Arabidopsis thaliana: one gene and its partners. The protein of the gene in region 1 interacts with the protein of each later gene in a pairwise test. Each region holds a gene or a part of one and is shown on either strand. Other genes may lie near its edges.

Region 1 (3,679 bases):
AGTGTAAGATCTCGAGAGTTCATGGGGAGCTTCAAAATCGATAAAACAGATTTATCCAGAAAAATCTTTGCTCTTCTCTCTTCACTATTAAATGTAGCGGGAAACTATAAGAGAGTGAAAATCCCCGCCATTCCGGTTAAGGCAGGTCTATCATTCGGTTCATATGATTGTTGGTTTAGGTTTCGGTTAATAACTAGATTGGTTTACTGATTGTGCTTTCTCTTCTCAGCAGAAAATTATGGCAATTAACAGATTTTGGTTAATTTCATTTTTTTCAAAAATTATGTGTTATTGAATCATTTATTTTATTATTTGTTATTTTTTTTTATTTTTTTTAGTATTGAGTGCTACCAATATATTTTTTGGATAAAAAAAACTATACCGGTCCAGATTTGATATCTCAACCATCTCTTCTATATTTCTATTAACTATGGATTTAAACTTTTTTGTATCGTTGATGTTTTGACAATCTTTTCAATTCACAAAAAGGTTATAAAAGATTGATTTTGAAATTTTGGTTAATGATCTTGTGAAAAAATTGACATTACCTTTCAAAATTTTTTTTTATAACTATAGTTCTATATTCTTATTTTGCGCTTTTAAGATACCGTCTCTGACTTTTTTATTGGTAGGCACGGTTGTGTATACCTATATAAGTTTTAGTTTTATTTCGCTATTTAGTTTTCTTTTGTCTAATGTAATGTAATATGAACTGGATAGATTAAGAAAACATAAAGTGGAAACGAACAAAGTTTGAAAAATAACAAATAATTGGAAACGTACATGAAACTATGAAACACATGAAACAAGTTAATAACTTTAAAAAAAAAACATTGAAAGCATTACGTACATTTTTATCTATAAATAACAAAATGTATTTAAAACATAACGACCAGGCAATCGTAGATCACAACACAATTCAGATTAGCTATTAAACCTGTGGAATTTTGTTTTTTTTTGTCATTTAGAGCGTCTATACTAATTAATGTAATTGAGATTGCAGCGGAAAGACTCAAACCCTAGTTTCCGAATTCTCAATCCTATAAATCTGTTATAATCTTTCAACTATTTAAATCACATATATAAATAAAATATAAACTGTTATATGAGAAGAATTTGATTAAATTACTAATATATACGGACTAAGCACATAGTAAGTGAGCTAGTTGCTAGCTTTTGAATCCATTAAGCCACGTGCATCACCAATTATTACACAACCCACATCCACATTTTCATTTTTTTAAAAGGATACGTTAATTAACAAATATACAATCGCAAAGTTATTAGTTACAAAAACATATAAAATGAGATAGATGATGAAAAAGTGAAAAGGGTTTCTTTAAAAAGCCTCTCATGCTTCAATAACGTGATCCGTTTATATCCCATCTTCTCTGTCTTTTCTTCAACGGAGATTTTCTCTACACCTTAACTATTTTTTTTCTTCCTATTTCTATCTTCGTTTTACTAACCTACCCTCCATTATTTTCACTTTACAAGTATGCTCCTCTTATGTTTTGGAAAAAAAAAAAACAATGAAATTTTGCAATTGCAAGTTATGTCATAATATATAGTAGCTTTAACGTAAAAAACAACATTAATCACGTTTGCGTTTACATGTTTATATTATTTCGACATAAACGCAAATAACATGTTCATCATTATAAAACATTCTAAAAATTTGGTTATTGGTGACTATTTATTTTGTAACTCGACAAAACTTAAAAAATCTTATATATCTAACCTATTTTTAACTTTAGTTGATTGTTGTACAATCACATCATTTCGTCTTATCATGGAACCACACTTGACAACAAATTCACATAATGGCGGTACGGTGGTCGTTTGTTAACTTTGAGGATTATATAAAAACCCAATGATCAAATAACCCAAAAAGATATGCATATTCGAATAAGGGGTTATAAGTGTAATTTCAAGTAGATAGTATATGTGCACAGACACGAAGCAGCTTACATATAAAGTGATTGGTAATTGCCATCCCCACACTTATTGAGAAGTGCAGCCTTTTAGCCAAAAAAAACAAACAAGAATACAAAAATGGCTGAACAACAAGATCATCACAAAGAGCTTCAGCTTTTACCTTCTCCACCGTCTACCGAATCTCCGGTAAGGAAACACCGACCAACAGTTATAACAACCGACCATCACAACAATCACCACCGTTCCTCCTCCATGATCCACCACGATCTTGACCTCAAACTCTCCATCAGCCTCAGCTCGATCTCAACAGCGGAGGAGCTTCCAAACGGTGGTGTGGAGGCGTTGAAGTGGCAAGCCGCGGAGCAGATAAGGCTTGCGGCTATAGAGAAGGCTTACGCCGAGAGGGTTAGAGAGTTGACTCGCCGTGAGATGGAGATGGCTCAGTCTGAGTTTGCTCGTGCAAGGTAGTTAAAGCTAGCTCGATCAAGTAATAATTCTGGTTTTGGTTTGGTTAACGGTTTTGAATTGTAACCAGGGTGATGTGGCAGAAGGCAAGGGAAGAAGTGGAGAGAGCTGAGAGATTGAAGGAGAGATCAATGACGAAGATCGATACGGCTTGCTTGGAGATCACTTGCCACTCTTGCAGACAAAGGTTTAGGCCATAACATAAGTATTTATTTGTTTCTCTTAATTATTGTTATTATAAATGGATATTTGAAGAGAAAGAGAATGTTGGTTTAATTTAAATTTTATTTTGTAGTTAAATTTAATTTGTTTTCATTTTCGAGTTTGGTAATATTATATAGTCCTTCCTTTTTATTTTCTTGAAATCGAAGGAAAACAATATGCTCAGATAAGAGATGATTTATGTTTCCAGCTACTTTACTTCCTCTTCTTTGCCAACCAAAAAAAAAAAAAAAAAAAATCATGAATACCATTTAGTGAATTACTTGGGAATTAGGGATAAAATTCATTAGTTACGTTGTCAACATTAGCTATGTCAATTCCTCAACGATCAGCTATTATATACTATATGGAGTATTAAAATCTAACTATGACATTTATTAACCAACAGAACAAAACCTAATTAGTAATTACAGTGATTAGTTAGTTAAATGCTTGATGTTAAAGTAACAAGAGATGGAGTGACATTCACAATCGAGGAACGTGGAAAATAAAAAAGAGAATGGACGGATTGCATGATTTGAATATAATTGGCTGACCCATATGTGATTCATTTGATTTGTTGTAATCATCTTTGAAAACGTTCGTTCAATGAAAATTGATGATTATTCTGAAAACAAATAATCAAACACACGTAAAGACATATGCATGGAGATGATGGGTATAATTATTGCATTAACATGCTTATTTCATCTACTTTAATCTCTTAGGTCGCTTTAAATAGTATATATGTGTGTACTATTATTTTGTGTTTGTGCATATACGTACATTTACTTACAGAAACTTGATAAATGTATGAATATTTTTGATAAGAGAGAGGATTAATTTTAATTATGTACTTCGTAGACTATGGTTTAAATCAATCGTGTACTACAGATAATATGTTCAAATTTAAATCCTAAAAAATGCCGAGTTTACGATCATACCCTAAATACGTAAATCAACTCGGCTGATCTATTCGGTTGGTCGTCATATTCTCTATAAAATGATACATACATATGAACTATATTAACGATTATGACAATATATAGAATATATGTAAACATTTTGAGAATAT
Region 2 (3,620 bases), 4.9 Mb from region 1:
GTGCAATTTGGTTTTCCGGTTTGGGTATTTCGATTTTGCTGTCAAAGTATGTCCAAACGAAACCACAGAAAAAAATGATTTAGTTTGGTTCGATTCGGTTTGAAAATTTTGATTTATTTCGGTTTTAGATAACTATTTCTAATGAAAGTAACTATACATAATTAACTATGTATAATTCAATATATAACTGAGTATAATTTTGAAATCCATTTGATTAAAAATGTTATTCTTGATAAAATCTAGTAAATTTAGTTTTGGTTCGGTATGTAAATGGTTAGCATTCGATTTTCAAAGTCAAGTACGGTTAGATCTCGGTTTGAAACCATTTGGGTAAAGTTTATTGGAATGATAAATGAGGAAGGAGTTGAGTAAGAATGTGAACTACGATGCATGGGGCATGCGAGGTTATTAGACGGAATTATTAAGTGTTGTTCTGGTTCACGTATCTGCTGACGTGGAATCTAAGTAAATTAAAACCCATAACATAACACAGGGTGTGTTTCACGCGTCAACTATCTTAAAGTACGGTCTTTATCCCCGGGATTTTGTCACCTTAAACCTCTAATTTAATACTAATCATCACCTATTTCTCGTTTTATATCAAAATAAAATATTAGATCGAACGGAAACGGAGAACCTCCCCGTTTTTTCTGATTGGGTTTCGATTAGATTAAATTTTTGTATGTAAGATCCCCGTTTAGCAAAGCTCATCAAAGAAGGCAATGTCATTAGTTTTTTCTGTTCACAAAAGAAGGCAATGTCATAATCAGGACCACAAAGAAGAAATTCATAATGTAGTTTTTCGTGAGGCCCATTATGTAGTTCCATTCAGTGAAGTTTAGCCCATTATTAGTGTTGGCAATGGTTTGGGCCATATAGTTTGTTGATGTTAGGCTCAAATGAACTTCTTTTCTTTATAATTAAGAAACTTAAAATAAATAATTAAAAAAGTATCAGACAGAAACCAAGACCAAGATTGTACAGAACAATTTATACTAAACTCAGTTTAATTTAGGCTAGCAAAAAGTACATATGAACCAAAATCACATTTAAGTCCCTAACTAAACACCGATACACTATCTCACTTGTTTTTTGTTTTTTTTTACAAAAATAATAAATCAAACTGACAAAAACAATAAATGAATAAAATATCATTTGTATTTCTACAAATCTTGATTCTTTGTTAGTATTTGCAATTTCAGCATGTGGTATGTGAGAGACTGTGACAATTAGCTAGTGGTCTTTTTAAAAACAATATATTTTGCACTATGGTGGGCTCAAAGCTCTCTAATATAATTTAAATAATAGGAAGAAAAAAAGAAGAGTATGTAATATGGGCCATTGCCCATTAGGACCCTTGAAATTAATAATGACCCGCCAAGAAATTGTTGGTGTACGTAATTGAGTGCACCGAAAGGTACTACTGTTTTTTTTCCTTCGTATTCCAGAATCTTTCTTTTTTGAACTCCGTATAATATAAAAAGACAAAATGTTATATTGTTGTAGGACATGGATCCACACAAGTTATGTGACATTATATTAATCAATTCGAGTAAAAACAACATGCAATTATATACTCTGTTGATCTGATAAGATGTACTCTGTTTGGTCCATAGTTTCACACGTTCCATTTATAAATTTATAGAATTAGTTTTCGTGGAGGTTTTCTAACAATTTGGTAAAATGGTTAAATTCATTAATCATCCATAATAATTTTACAAAGATTAAAGTCTTTTTGTCTCTGTCGGCCTTTTCACCTTTTGACCTCACGTGAACATTATTACCCCTATCACTTACCTTTCTAAATGGAAAATAGGTTAAGGAAAACCATTTATCTTACTTTTTGTAATTTGTTTAGATAAGGTTTTATTTTATTTATTAATCTGCCAATTATTCTACAGAAATTAGTTCATTTTTTATTTTACCTTCAAATGTTTTCTACTTGTTGTCAATTGTTCTACAAACAGACCATTGCCAATTACTCTCAATTCTCAAATAACCAAAAATAATAATCATTTATCTTTCAAAGACTAAAATAATAGTAATGATGATAATATCGCAAGCACAATATCTTCGGTCCTTTTGTTTACAAGAAAAGTGGTGGACCATTCGCAATTTTCATTTTTTCTTTACGTCGTAAAGATATATACTTCATCTGCTCAAAGAAAACGTTTGTCTTAAACCCTTCTCCGTCTTGGGGTTTTCTTTGGATTCCATACATTACATATACACAAAATAATCAGTTATTATTTCTAACTTATGTAGCAAAAATGGGTAACTGCGTATTCAAAGGCAATGGTGGTTCAAGAAAATTATACGATAAAGATGATTCGTTGATAAAAGTGGTGACTCCAAACGGTGGCGTGATGGAGCTTCATCCTCCCATCTTCGCCGAATTCATCACCAACGAATTTCCCGGCCATGTCATCCACGACTCTTTAAGCCTCCGCCACTCATCTCCACCGCTTCTCCACGGCGAAGAACTCTTTCCCGGTAACATCTACTACCTCCTTCCTCTTTCTTCTTCCGCAGCCGCGACCGCTCAACTGGATTCCTCCGACCAACTATCAACGCCGTACAGAATGTCTTTCGGGAAGACGCCGATAATGGCGGCTTTGAGTGGCGGTGGTTGTGGAGTGTGGAAGGTGAGGCTTGTGATAAGTCCGGAGCAGTTGGCGGAAATTCTTGCGGAGGATGTGGAAACGGAAGCGTTGGTGGAAAGTGTGAGGACGGTGGCGAAGTGTGGCGGTTACGGCTGCGGCGGAGGAGTTCATTCGAGAGCGAATTCAGACCAGCTAAGCGTTACGAGTAGCTTTAAAGGGAAATTGTGGTAAAATTTCGAATTATGAATAAACTACGTTTATGTTTTAATCTGTTTCACGATTTAAGCATTTAAATTAGTATGTTGATTTCCGTATTCATTGAAGACTTGGAACGATTATATAAGTTTATCAACGTAGATATATTTGAAATATCATTGTTATCTCTCATGAAACAATTAATTTATGAAGTCGTAGACTCGTAGTTAGAGATTATTTAATCTTCCCTATTCAATGCCAAAAGTCTAGAAGAGCAAAACAAAAGGGAGAAACTCTTTTATTTCAGGCCCAATGACACAAAGCTGGCCAGAAACAGTTTAAGATTAGGCTAAAGTTATAAGTCCGACAAGCACGAGTGCTAATATATATAGTTATATGACGTCTCACCATTAAGGGTTTAATAAATTTTGAAACACCTCAAATTAAGATTGCTTCCCATGCAAACTTCCTTCATCTTCTAGAAAAATTACGATTTGTAATACTTCAATTATATCATTTTAGTTTTTTGTCACTAATTATCATCAATTTATCATAGCTCCGTGCCGCAACAACGTTCGTTTTAATCAGATTATATATTACTCTGCTATAAACTCAGAACCATGTTAGAAAAATGAAAAAGACATTTCAGAATATTCATTAACTCAAAATTTTAATCTCATGATTTAATTTTTTATTAACAATGTTATCCTATAGCACATGGCAAATTTGAACGGCCCTTGCGTATTAATCTATTATAATCTCAAAACCATGTGTAAGAAAAAGGAAATTCAGAAAATAACCTTTTGTAAATAGGCCCCCACA
Region 3 (5,317 bases), on another chromosome or scaffold:
CATTTGATATTTAATCTAAATAATGCATTTAAATGGATCTTTATTTGTTTGATTATTTTGTAGTTCATCCACATTTTAGTAGGTAAAAATAATTTTACGGTTTTGGCGAAAAAAATATTTTATGGTTTTAGTGGGAAAACATGATATTATGGCTTTGGCGGGAAAACATGATTTTGCGGTTTTGCCGGGAAAACATGATATTACGGTTTTGGCGGGAAAACATGATTTTACCGTTTTGACGGGAAAACATGATTTTACCGTTTTGACGGGAAAATATGATATTACGGTTTTGGCGGAAAAACATGATTTTGAAGTTTTGGCGGGAAAACATGAATTTACGGTTTTGGTGAAAAAAATATTTTACAGTTTTGGCGGGAAAACATGATATTACGGTTTTGGCGGAAAAATATGATTTTGAAGTTTTGGCGAGAAAACATGATTTTGAAGTTTTGGCGGGAAAACATGATTTTACGGTTTTGGCGGGAAAACATGATTTTGAAGTTTTAACAGAAAAACATGATTTTGAAGTTTTGGCGGGAAAACATGGTCTTACGGTTTTGGCGGGAAAACATGATTTTAAAGTTTTAACAGAAAAACATGATTTTGAAGTTTTGGCGGGAAAATATGATTTTGCGGTTTTGGCGGAAAAATGAATACAATTTTGACGTAAAATAATAGTCCGTGATTTCCTAATTTTTTTTTTTTTTTGGGTGCAATATGTAATTTTAAAAAATAAAAAAACTTTATTGAAAATTAGTATTATTACAAACGTTATATTTGTCATTTATTCTTTTTAACTAAATCATCTCCATCCAAATGGTCAACTATGTCCATCTAAATGAGTTTTAAAAATTTGTCTAAATTTACAAAGTCATTCAGATGGATCATCCTAGTGATTCATCCAAATAATATGTTAAATTGTGAAAAACAAACATCATTTTTTATCTCTATCTAGATAATTCATTTGGATGGAGAAACAAACGGGCCTTAGTTATGTGAATCAAAACGTTAGTACTCTACAAACATTAAAATGTTGCACTTTAGCTTTAATTTTCCTTTTCACCGACCATTGATTTAGAAATTTAGCTACAGCATTAAACGGTAACTACGATGTCAAACCGTCACTATGTCCCTTTTTTTACTTCCAATTATTATATACCCTAATTCTTTTTCCAACCACTTCCACTTTCGTTTAAATCTCTTAAAACTTAAGAAAATCAAAGTTCCCATTATTAACGTGTGACCAAGAATTACGCTGGCCGGTCAAACTAATTATGGTCTTCAATAATGTTCAACAAACACAGTCTCACATCTTCAAGAAAAATCACGATTCCTTAATTGGTTTCTTCAATATGTGGAGTACTAAAAATGTAGCAAAAATAAAAAGTAGATGAAACTGTTTTTTAGCCGATCTTCTTCAATGGCTGCATTGTGATCGATGGACTAATTAAACGAGTCTCCGAAAATCATAAGCTTTATAGAAATAGTTGCTTTTTGCATGCTCAGATATGTATTTATCTTTATAAATTCAATTTTCACTCTATCTGAGATTTTTTTTCCATAAAATTTGGAAGTATCTTGAAATGGAAGTATTGCATACGAAATTTTGATTGTCATGAAAACAAACTGATTCCTTGTAGAATAAAAACAAACATAAGGAAAATATAGAGAGGGGTTAATAACAAACACACAAGGCGCCAGTCTCGTGTAAGAATGTGGTATACATTTATATGTATTCACGTGCGTATGTGAATGGCGGTTGTCGGTCAATCTCCCAAATCCATATCAACCCCAAAATACACTACATTTCTCGGTATTGACAAGAAATTAAAAAAAGGAAAATATCTCATGTTTTCTTCATTTTTTGATATAATTTTTTTTCTTATATTCTCTTTGGCATATAAAGTTGATTATCATTTGACCGGTTAGAGATATACTCTTTCCACAAAAAAAAATTTGAAACATTGTTCACATATATTAAAAAATATATAATTACATAAATACATGCCCTATTCATATACCACTAAAAAGAATGATGACTTAAATCACATGTCTTAAGGAATTTATAGGATGAAGATCCAATATTTGTTCATATACATAAATAATATTATTTAAATACATTGAACATAGGAAATAAATAAGTGGGGTTTCACTTTCATGTCACCACTCCATAAGGCCACAACAGATCTTCTTGTTCCTCTCTCTCAATCTCTCTCTCTAAAACTCTTATTTTCTTCGTAAGAGATGGAACTAGCGTTGTCTCTAGGCGACAATACTAAGAAACAGTTCTCTTTTATGGAGAAGAACTCGAAGATTAATAATCCCTCTGTCTCGTCGACATCTACTTCCGAGAAGGATCTTGGGTTCTGCATGGCTTTAGATGTTGCTTTTGGTGGTCACAGATCGTTGTCATCCTCTTCGTCTCCGTCGGTAGAGGATGAGAAGAAGAAACCGGCGCCCAGAGCAAAAAAATCTGACGAATTTAGGGTTTCGTCTTCTGTAGATCCACCATTACAGCTTCAGCTTCACTTCCCTAATTGGCTCCCTGAGAACAGTAAAGGTTCTTATTTTATTTTTTATATTTTAAAATAAAAAATGGGCATAGGGCTATAATTTCTCTTACTTAAATGGTGTGATTATATACGTACACACTAGACACAAAAGAAACAAAAGAAAGTCGATGTTATTCATAACATTCGATTTCTTATATTAGAATCCCTAATTTGGCTTACATGTTTTTTTTCTTACGACTATAAGAATATTAATATCTTTTCTGGATATATATATAGAGAGAGTCCGATTTGGCTTAAATGTGTCGATGGGATGTTGAAATCATTTTCCAAAAATGTTTTGACTGATTTGTGACAAGAAAGAAGAACCATCTTTTAATTAAAGTATTATTTAAATCCAAAGAAAAAAAATATCTATTGTGGATGTATTTGATTAACAAGAATACCTAACTTTTCACATATCAGTTTGAATATTCGCTCAGGATTACAATAGAAACAATATACTAATTTAATAAACCAAATTTACAGGTCGACAAGGAGGAAGAATGCCCTTAGGAGCAGCTACGGTTGTGGAGGAGGAAGAGGAGGAGGAGGAAGCGGTGCCTAGTATGTCAGTATCGCCGCCGGATAGTGTAACGTCGTCGTTTCAATTGGACTTTGGGATTAAAAGTTATGGTTATGAGAGAAGAAGCAATAAGAGAGATATTGATGATGAAGTGGAGAGATCAGCTTCAAGAGCCAGCAACGAAGACAACGATGACGAGAATGGATCCACTAGGAAGAAACTTAGACTCTCCAAAGACCAATCTGCTTTTCTTGAAGACAGCTTCAAAGAACACAGTACCCTTAATCCTGTTCGTGTCCCATTCTTTACAGTTTTTATTTATTTAAAATTTGTCTTTCTTGAATTTATTCTATTTTTTTAGTACCAAATTTTAGCCTTAATGCTTTTTTTTTTCTTTCTAAAACATTGCAGAAACAGAAGATTGCATTGGCGAAGCAGTTGAATCTTCGTCCTCGTCAGGTTGAAGTCTGGTTTCAAAACAGACGAGCCAGGTTAGCTTATATCATTAATTATTTATCTTCATTTTCTTCCTGTGTAAACGGTTTATTTTCTTCATTGGAAGTATATTTTTTTGCTATGATTAATTTCTGAAAAGAGGGATGAGGACGAAAAATGCATCACGAGTAATAATAACAAATTGTCGCATGTCTATCCTTGTCATTTTTCGTGCAAAAGTAGTATATCACTTCCGCTCATCATTTCCATATATAATTGCTTATAGTGACTTATTCACAAAAAGAAAAAAATTCATAATCCTTCTTTATATAATTTGAACCCAAAAAAAAACGTCTTCTTTAATCTTTACAAAAACAAAGTCTCATATTGTTGGTGGGGGTTATGTGATTGATAAATGATAATAGGACAAAGCTGAAGCAAACGGAAGTGGACTGTGAATACCTAAAGAGATGCTGTGAGTCACTAACCGAAGAAAACCGGAGGCTTCAAAAAGAGGTTAAAGAATTGAGAACCTTGAAGACTTCCACACCCTTTTACATGCAACTTCCGGCCACTACTCTCACTATGTGCCCTTCTTGTGAACGTGTTGCCACTTCAGCAGCACAGCCCTCCACGTCAGCTGCCCACAACCTCTGTTTGTCCACGTCATCATTGATTCCGGTTAAGCCTCGGCCGGCCAAACAAGTTTCATGAAAGCACCTGCGAAATACAGTTTGAGCAAACGGTCGAGCTAGAGTGGTTTTAAAAGTTGTCTTCTTGTGTATATATTTATTTTACTTTTCATATTTTATTAGAGACCGCTATTTTGAAAGACGAATAGATTGATTATCCGGTTAGTGTTTTGTTTTTCTTAGATAGGACCGGATAAAAAACAGATGGAGCAAAAGGGTTGACATGTTTTATTGAATGATAGAGGAATATAGAAGAAGACAAAAGGAAAAGGGGAAAATATTTGGTTTGATCTTATAGACTTTTATTTGTGATTAAAGCAAAAGGGTTTGTCGTGCAAAAAATCTTCACTAGATACGTTTAATTATCGTGTTTTAAATTTATTAAACTTATTTTTCTTCCTTTTTTTCTTTAATGTTATATATAGGTTGATACATTTTAATTTAAACAAAACAGCGTTTTTACAAGAAATATGAAGATAATTAACAAACCGGTTTTTTCATGTCAACGTTCGTTAATCAGAGCATGCATACATCGTAGGGAGAAACAATAGAGAACCTTTAACACAAGACGAGAACAGTCACAAGATTGTATCATTAATGATGTACTGTTTAGGCGATTAATTCTCTTTTGAACATGCGCCAGACTGTTCCTGCATGTAGAAGAACACGAGAAAAGCAAGTTGTATCTACTATCTTGTTTCGTCCTCTACTTCACACAAAACAAAGTTTGATTGATGTATAAGCCCCATTGAGATGATGTCTTTTGTTGGGTGGCGTCGACTGATCATGATATGAATAGCTAGAAGAGGAACATGTGTTTTTAAACAAAACTCTTATTTCTAAAACTGCAATTTTGCAATTATTGTATTACTTATATTCATACCTCAGGTTTCATATAGCATATATGGGTTGCATGTGAACCGGATCAATGATTTGTGAGTTTTAGATCCTATCATTTTGTATGGCAAGATAATATCAACATGTTTAGATAGTGGGTCGTATTTAGGATTAAAGCGAATATAATCTTAATGCATATTGCGTTTGTAAAGACACACTAGGATAAGATTGGTATCCCCATGCAATCAATTTAAACCGGGATTAAAGCCATTGAAAAC
Region 4 (4,698 bases), on another chromosome or scaffold:
TTAATTTTTTAATAAATGCAAGTTCTTAGTACGTTACATATCATTAAAATTTTCCAGCACTTGTTAACATCTGTTAATATCATAACTACATACTCGTTTTATCTTTGATATATATAGATATAATATTGTATCTCAAGGAATTTTTTTTTTGGGCCCGAAGCACAAAGCTTGTCTTTACATAGAATAAGATATGGCTGCAGATCTGTCTTTAAGATTTGGCAGCAGATCTGTTTTTTGGTTGAATGTATATTTACTATAATATTCTTTGTTTTAAATTCTTTGATATTTTTTAATATATAAAACGACAAAGACAAACACCTTTAAAGAAAATGCACCGATTTGAAAAATACCAAAGGAATAACATCTTGGTAAATGTTATTATTAAAAGGCATTAACATCAAAGATGTAAAAACATAATGCCATGCAAATACATAGTTTTCAATTTTTCTTGATATATAGTCTTATATTAGTCCTTTTTTATTCCCTTAAAAATCATATAGTGTTATCAAAAAAGTTCTAAACGTTAATATACAGATAATCATGTAACGGTTATAAATAAATAAAAACTCAATTAACCGTACGTAAATAAATGAGGCTTCTGGTTCAATGTACTATATGATGATGATTTGCAAAAAAGCGTGTGAGTCTCTTCCACCTCAAATTCAGGACATAAATCTGATTATTGTTATTATTTTTTGGTTCAATTTTGGATTTGAGATTATCCATAAACTTTTTGGTGTATAAACATAGCATTGCTTACAGTAGTTACAACTAGATTATATACTAGAATAAAATATTAGTAATATTTTGGAAAAAAGAAAAAAAAATGCATGAATGTGAGGATTATTAAAATGTGCATAGAAAGAGGACTTTCCATTTAAAGCGAAGCTTTTAGATCGATACTTGCAGCAAAGCTAACCGTTCTCTTCCCCTTTTTAGGTTTCTAGATGATTACTATTGCTTCGTTTCTTTTGTCTCTTATCTTCTTCCTTCTGCTTAAACAATTTATTTTACTATATACAAATGTACCACCTCCTAGGTTCTAAACGATAGACTACACGTGTGAATCAAACCCTCTTACCATTTGGAAATGTTTTTTGCTTAACCGGTTGTCCAGAGCAGTTATTTAGGTGGAACCAATTTTCTATGTGTTGCTTCTTTTTACAGCTGATTTGTTATGAAAAAACATTTCACTTTTAAAACATGTAAAATAAAACATTACAAACGATACATATTTCATTTTTGTTGCTTTAATTTTCACCTTTTTAATGGATTAGGTTAGACAATAAGCAGATATGCTTATGGTAATGCCATGGACCATAGTTTGGACCAAAAAGGCCTACATTATATTATGGGCCTTTATGAAGTCCATTAGTTTCGTTCATAAAAAGACAATTTAATCTGAAGTCCCACATTTTTAAAAATGTTTAATTTTAATCTTTCAGCAAGAAAAAGAAAAGGGCAAATGGTTTTGCTATGCAAGTGAAAAAAATATTGAAAAGAAAGAAATTTTTGAAAGAAAAGTAATACTTAGTAAGAGTTAGAAAAGTAAGAGATTAATGATTAATCAAAGGCGTTAATTGCTGTCAAAAGTAGCAAATTACTGCGTAAAGAGTTGTCTAATTAAGACTAGGAGTTCAGCAATATTGCAGTACTCTTAACCAAAGATTTAATATTGAGTAATCTATTCGTTAGTTGAGGATGAAAGTTGAATTTTGATAGGTACTAGTGAAAACACCTTTATTCGATGATACCAATAATTGGGTTTTAAGATAACAATAGTTGATATTATAATGGATTTCACTCAAATGAAAACACATTTCTTTCTCTAAATAGTAAATACCTTCTTTTCTTTTTTGTTAAAGATTCACTAATATTTTTTTAGTTTTATATATCCTAATGAAAATAGATAATGTGTAACTCTAATAATAGCCATATCACATCATAGCCATTAGTGATTATTCCAATGTTAGAATAAAAACAACAACAAAAATCAGTGAGGGGATTAACCAGAAATACTAATTTTTAAAAGGAGTAATAATGGGTTAATAATTGGCCACTCTCATTACAGAACAGAACTCATAGCCGTCGTCGTCGTCTCTGTCGTTCTTATTTCAAAAAAAAAAAAAAAAAAAAGAGACAAAGAAAAAGTAAAGAGAAGTGCGCTCTCTCTTACTCTCATCGATTTTACAAAATATCAGCCATCTCCAAATTACAGAGTTCTTTCTCAAACCCAGGTTATCATTTTCCAAAGTTTGAAGGTTTGTTGTCTTTGATTTTTAAAATCTTCCTTTTCTGTATAATCTGTAGTCTGCTTTCACCGACACTTGGTTATCTTCCTCGAATTCTTCCTGGGTTTGTTTATTTTGGTTTCTCCATCAATGAATCTTTTGCTGTCTAAATTTCTTCTGTGATTATAAGAGCTCAAAACAGCTGTTACGAGTCTGAATCTAGTGTTTTGTCTTAAATATTGCGTTAGTTTAATTTATATGCATCCTCAAATACTGTTGTTTCCATTTTGTCTCAGGTGTGTTCCTGTCCCTGCAGAGATGGCTTGGTACTTATGAATGTGTTTATACTAATCACTAAACTCGGGGATTTTGGCTGTATAATCAAGAATTTCATTTATTAAGTAAGATTACAATCATTAACTTAGCCTTCCACAGTGTTTACAAGTTACAAAAAGACGACTTTGGTTTCAACTGAAATCATTCTTCAAGTCTCTTCCTTTTGGCAGCATTGTTTGGCCTTGAAGGCGGTGAGGATAAACCAGAGCTCAAAACGGGTGCACTCTGTTGTATTGTGGCCTCAAGGCCACTGGTTACAACAAAATCTTCACCCCACAGCGGAAGGGATATTCCTCAATCAAGTCAAGCTGAAGCCTTGCAATGGCGGACAAATTTCAGCTTCTCACCTGCTGCTGGCTATACTAGAGATGGTTTGGAACAGGATATGAGTGATGAGAGTCCCGCTTTTGCATTGCACTCGGGCAGCAGTAGACAAAGAAAAAGTTTGGAATTCAGATTTCAGCAGTCGCCAAGATGGGCTCCATACTCATCTGCTTCTGATGGGAACGAACAGAAAACCTCCTTGGTTAATAATAGTCTAACAAGACCAAATAGCTCAAATCCTCAATGCTTAAACGAGGTAATTTTGGTCTTCTTTACATATCAAGTCATTAATCTTCAAGATGGGCTTTTCTTGGTTTCATCTTTGGCTGAACCTTGTCGCTCTTTGATGTAATTACGGCTCAGGAGAACGGTTTTGATAGAGACAGTACCGCCATCTCAACGAGTTTCAGATCGTTGCTGTCTCTTTCAGAGTCATCTGTCCCATGGGAGACTCCGACCAACAATCAGTCTTCCAGCCTTACTCACTGCTCTTACCCTCGAGTCTTCTGCAACCCGGTTTCAGTTTGTGAGAATCCTGAACCTGATCATACGCAAGAAGACTCGTCCACAAATCCTGGTTCCAGTATCATGATGTCCACAAGAAACCACCAAGGCTCACCAGTAGAGGAAGAAGTATCACCAAACTCGAGCAGCAATGACATGTTGCTAGATGTTGAAAGATCCAATGACACAGAAGTCGCAAACCCGAGATCTGAACAAGGTTCAATGACACATCAAAGATGCGGGATTTGCAAGAAGCTTTTATCTCAGAAATCTCCATGGAGCTCATACAAGATATTGAGATCCAGAGACATGCCAGCCACTGGTGTTTTCCCCTGCCATCACGTCTACCATGTTGAGTGTTTAGACAAAGCAACCCCAACAGCTCAAACCAGAGACCCGTCTTGTCCTGTTTGCTCAAACACCATTGGAGTAATGGAACAGCCACTGATAGCACCTGAAACATTGCAAATGGCTCTAAGATCTCTCAGAAGAAGCCGCACAGCTCTAGAATTAGAGACAGTAAGAGTCCCTTCCAATGACAATCAAAGAAGACACAATACCAGAAGAAGCCATAAATGGGACAAACTCAGCTGCTGTTTGAATATAAGCTTCTCATCTTCTTCCTAGAAATCCAACATGACCCGATTAAATTAGGTTCTTTGAACTTTTACTTGGATCTAATCGATAGTTATAACACAAAAGAAAGAATCTTTTCAAACTTATAGTTTCTCGAGTGTCTGGGAAACTATAGACAGAAGCAGTACGCATTTTAGTTAACTTGTAATCCAAAATCTATATTTCAGGCTACAAAGAAACTCTAGTTAACTAGGAACAACAAGCCTTACACACGAATTAAGTTTTCTTCTAGTTGATAAGAACAAAACAAAACAAAAACAGAAAACCAAAACCATAATCCACAAATTCGAATCGAACAAAAACAAAAAGCTAGAAGAAGAAACCTTAAATAATCAAAATCTAAAATTTTCAAAAACACATAAATATTTGGTTGGGTGGGTGTTAAAGCTCGCAATAGCCATCACAGCGCCGAGTAAAATCGTGCGCTCAGGCAGCAAGCAGTCTTCATCGCTGAAAACAATGGGAAATTAACGATAAAAGGAATCGAAACCTTTCCGTCACCGGAGCCGCCAGCCAAGGATATTGGGGTTGCTCATTGGCCCGAAAAGGCCGAAACCCTAACGATAAATCACTTTTTCTCAGCTCAGATAAGATCAAGTAGTTTTGAAGATTTGATTGATTTGGTTGCTCGAGTTTTATAGCCTTTGGTCAAAAACCCTAATTCACT

The links.
Region 2: the proteins of AT3G48550 (region 1) and AT3G61920 interact in a two-hybrid assay, tested with the Arabidopsis thaliana proteins (one large-scale study listed by BioGRID).
Region 3: the proteins of AT3G48550 (region 1) and HAT14 interact in a two-hybrid assay, tested with the Arabidopsis thaliana proteins (one large-scale study listed by BioGRID).
Region 4: the proteins of AT3G48550 (region 1) and AT5G18260 interact in a two-hybrid assay, tested with the Arabidopsis thaliana proteins (one large-scale study listed by BioGRID).

Annotation. Positions count from the first base shown.
Region 1 is NC_003074.8:17,991,993-17,995,671, forward strand, and holds AT3G48550 (SHOOT GRAVITROPISM-like protein), read left to right. Parts: upstream 1-1,826; 5' UTR 1,827-2,055; coding exon 2,056-2,402; intron 2,403-2,473; coding exon 2,474-2,603; 3' UTR 2,604-2,787; downstream 2,788-3,679. Other genes in the region: AT3G48540 (Cytidine/deoxycytidylate deaminase family protein), read right to left, coding at 1-23.
Region 2 is NC_003074.8:22,931,852-22,935,471, reverse strand, and holds AT3G61920 (UvrABC system protein C), read left to right. Parts: upstream 1-2,109; 5' UTR 2,110-2,270; coding exon 2,271-2,834; 3' UTR 2,835-3,018; downstream 3,019-3,620.
Region 3 is NC_003076.8:2,067,212-2,072,528, reverse strand, and holds HAT14 (homeobox leucine zipper protein), read left to right. Parts: upstream 1-1,962; 5' UTR 1,963-2,244; coding exon 2,245-2,560; intron 2,561-3,038; coding exon 3,039-3,364; coding exon of another isoform or gene 3,365-3,436; exon of another isoform or gene 3,437-3,486; coding exon 3,487-3,566; coding exon of another isoform or gene 3,567-3,666; exon of another isoform or gene 3,667-3,935; coding exon 3,936-4,224; 3' UTR 4,225-4,570; downstream 4,571-5,317. UniProt on the Arabidopsis thaliana protein: Probable transcription factor.
Region 4 is NC_003076.8:6,035,550-6,040,247, reverse strand, and holds AT5G18260 (RING/U-box superfamily protein), read left to right. Parts: upstream 1-2,141; 5' UTR 2,142-2,261; intron 2,262-2,527; 5' UTR 2,528-2,632; exon of another isoform or gene 2,633-2,737; 5' UTR 2,738-2,952; coding exon 2,953-3,147; exon of another isoform or gene 3,148-3,254; coding exon 3,255-4,022; 3' UTR 4,023-4,046; downstream 4,047-4,698.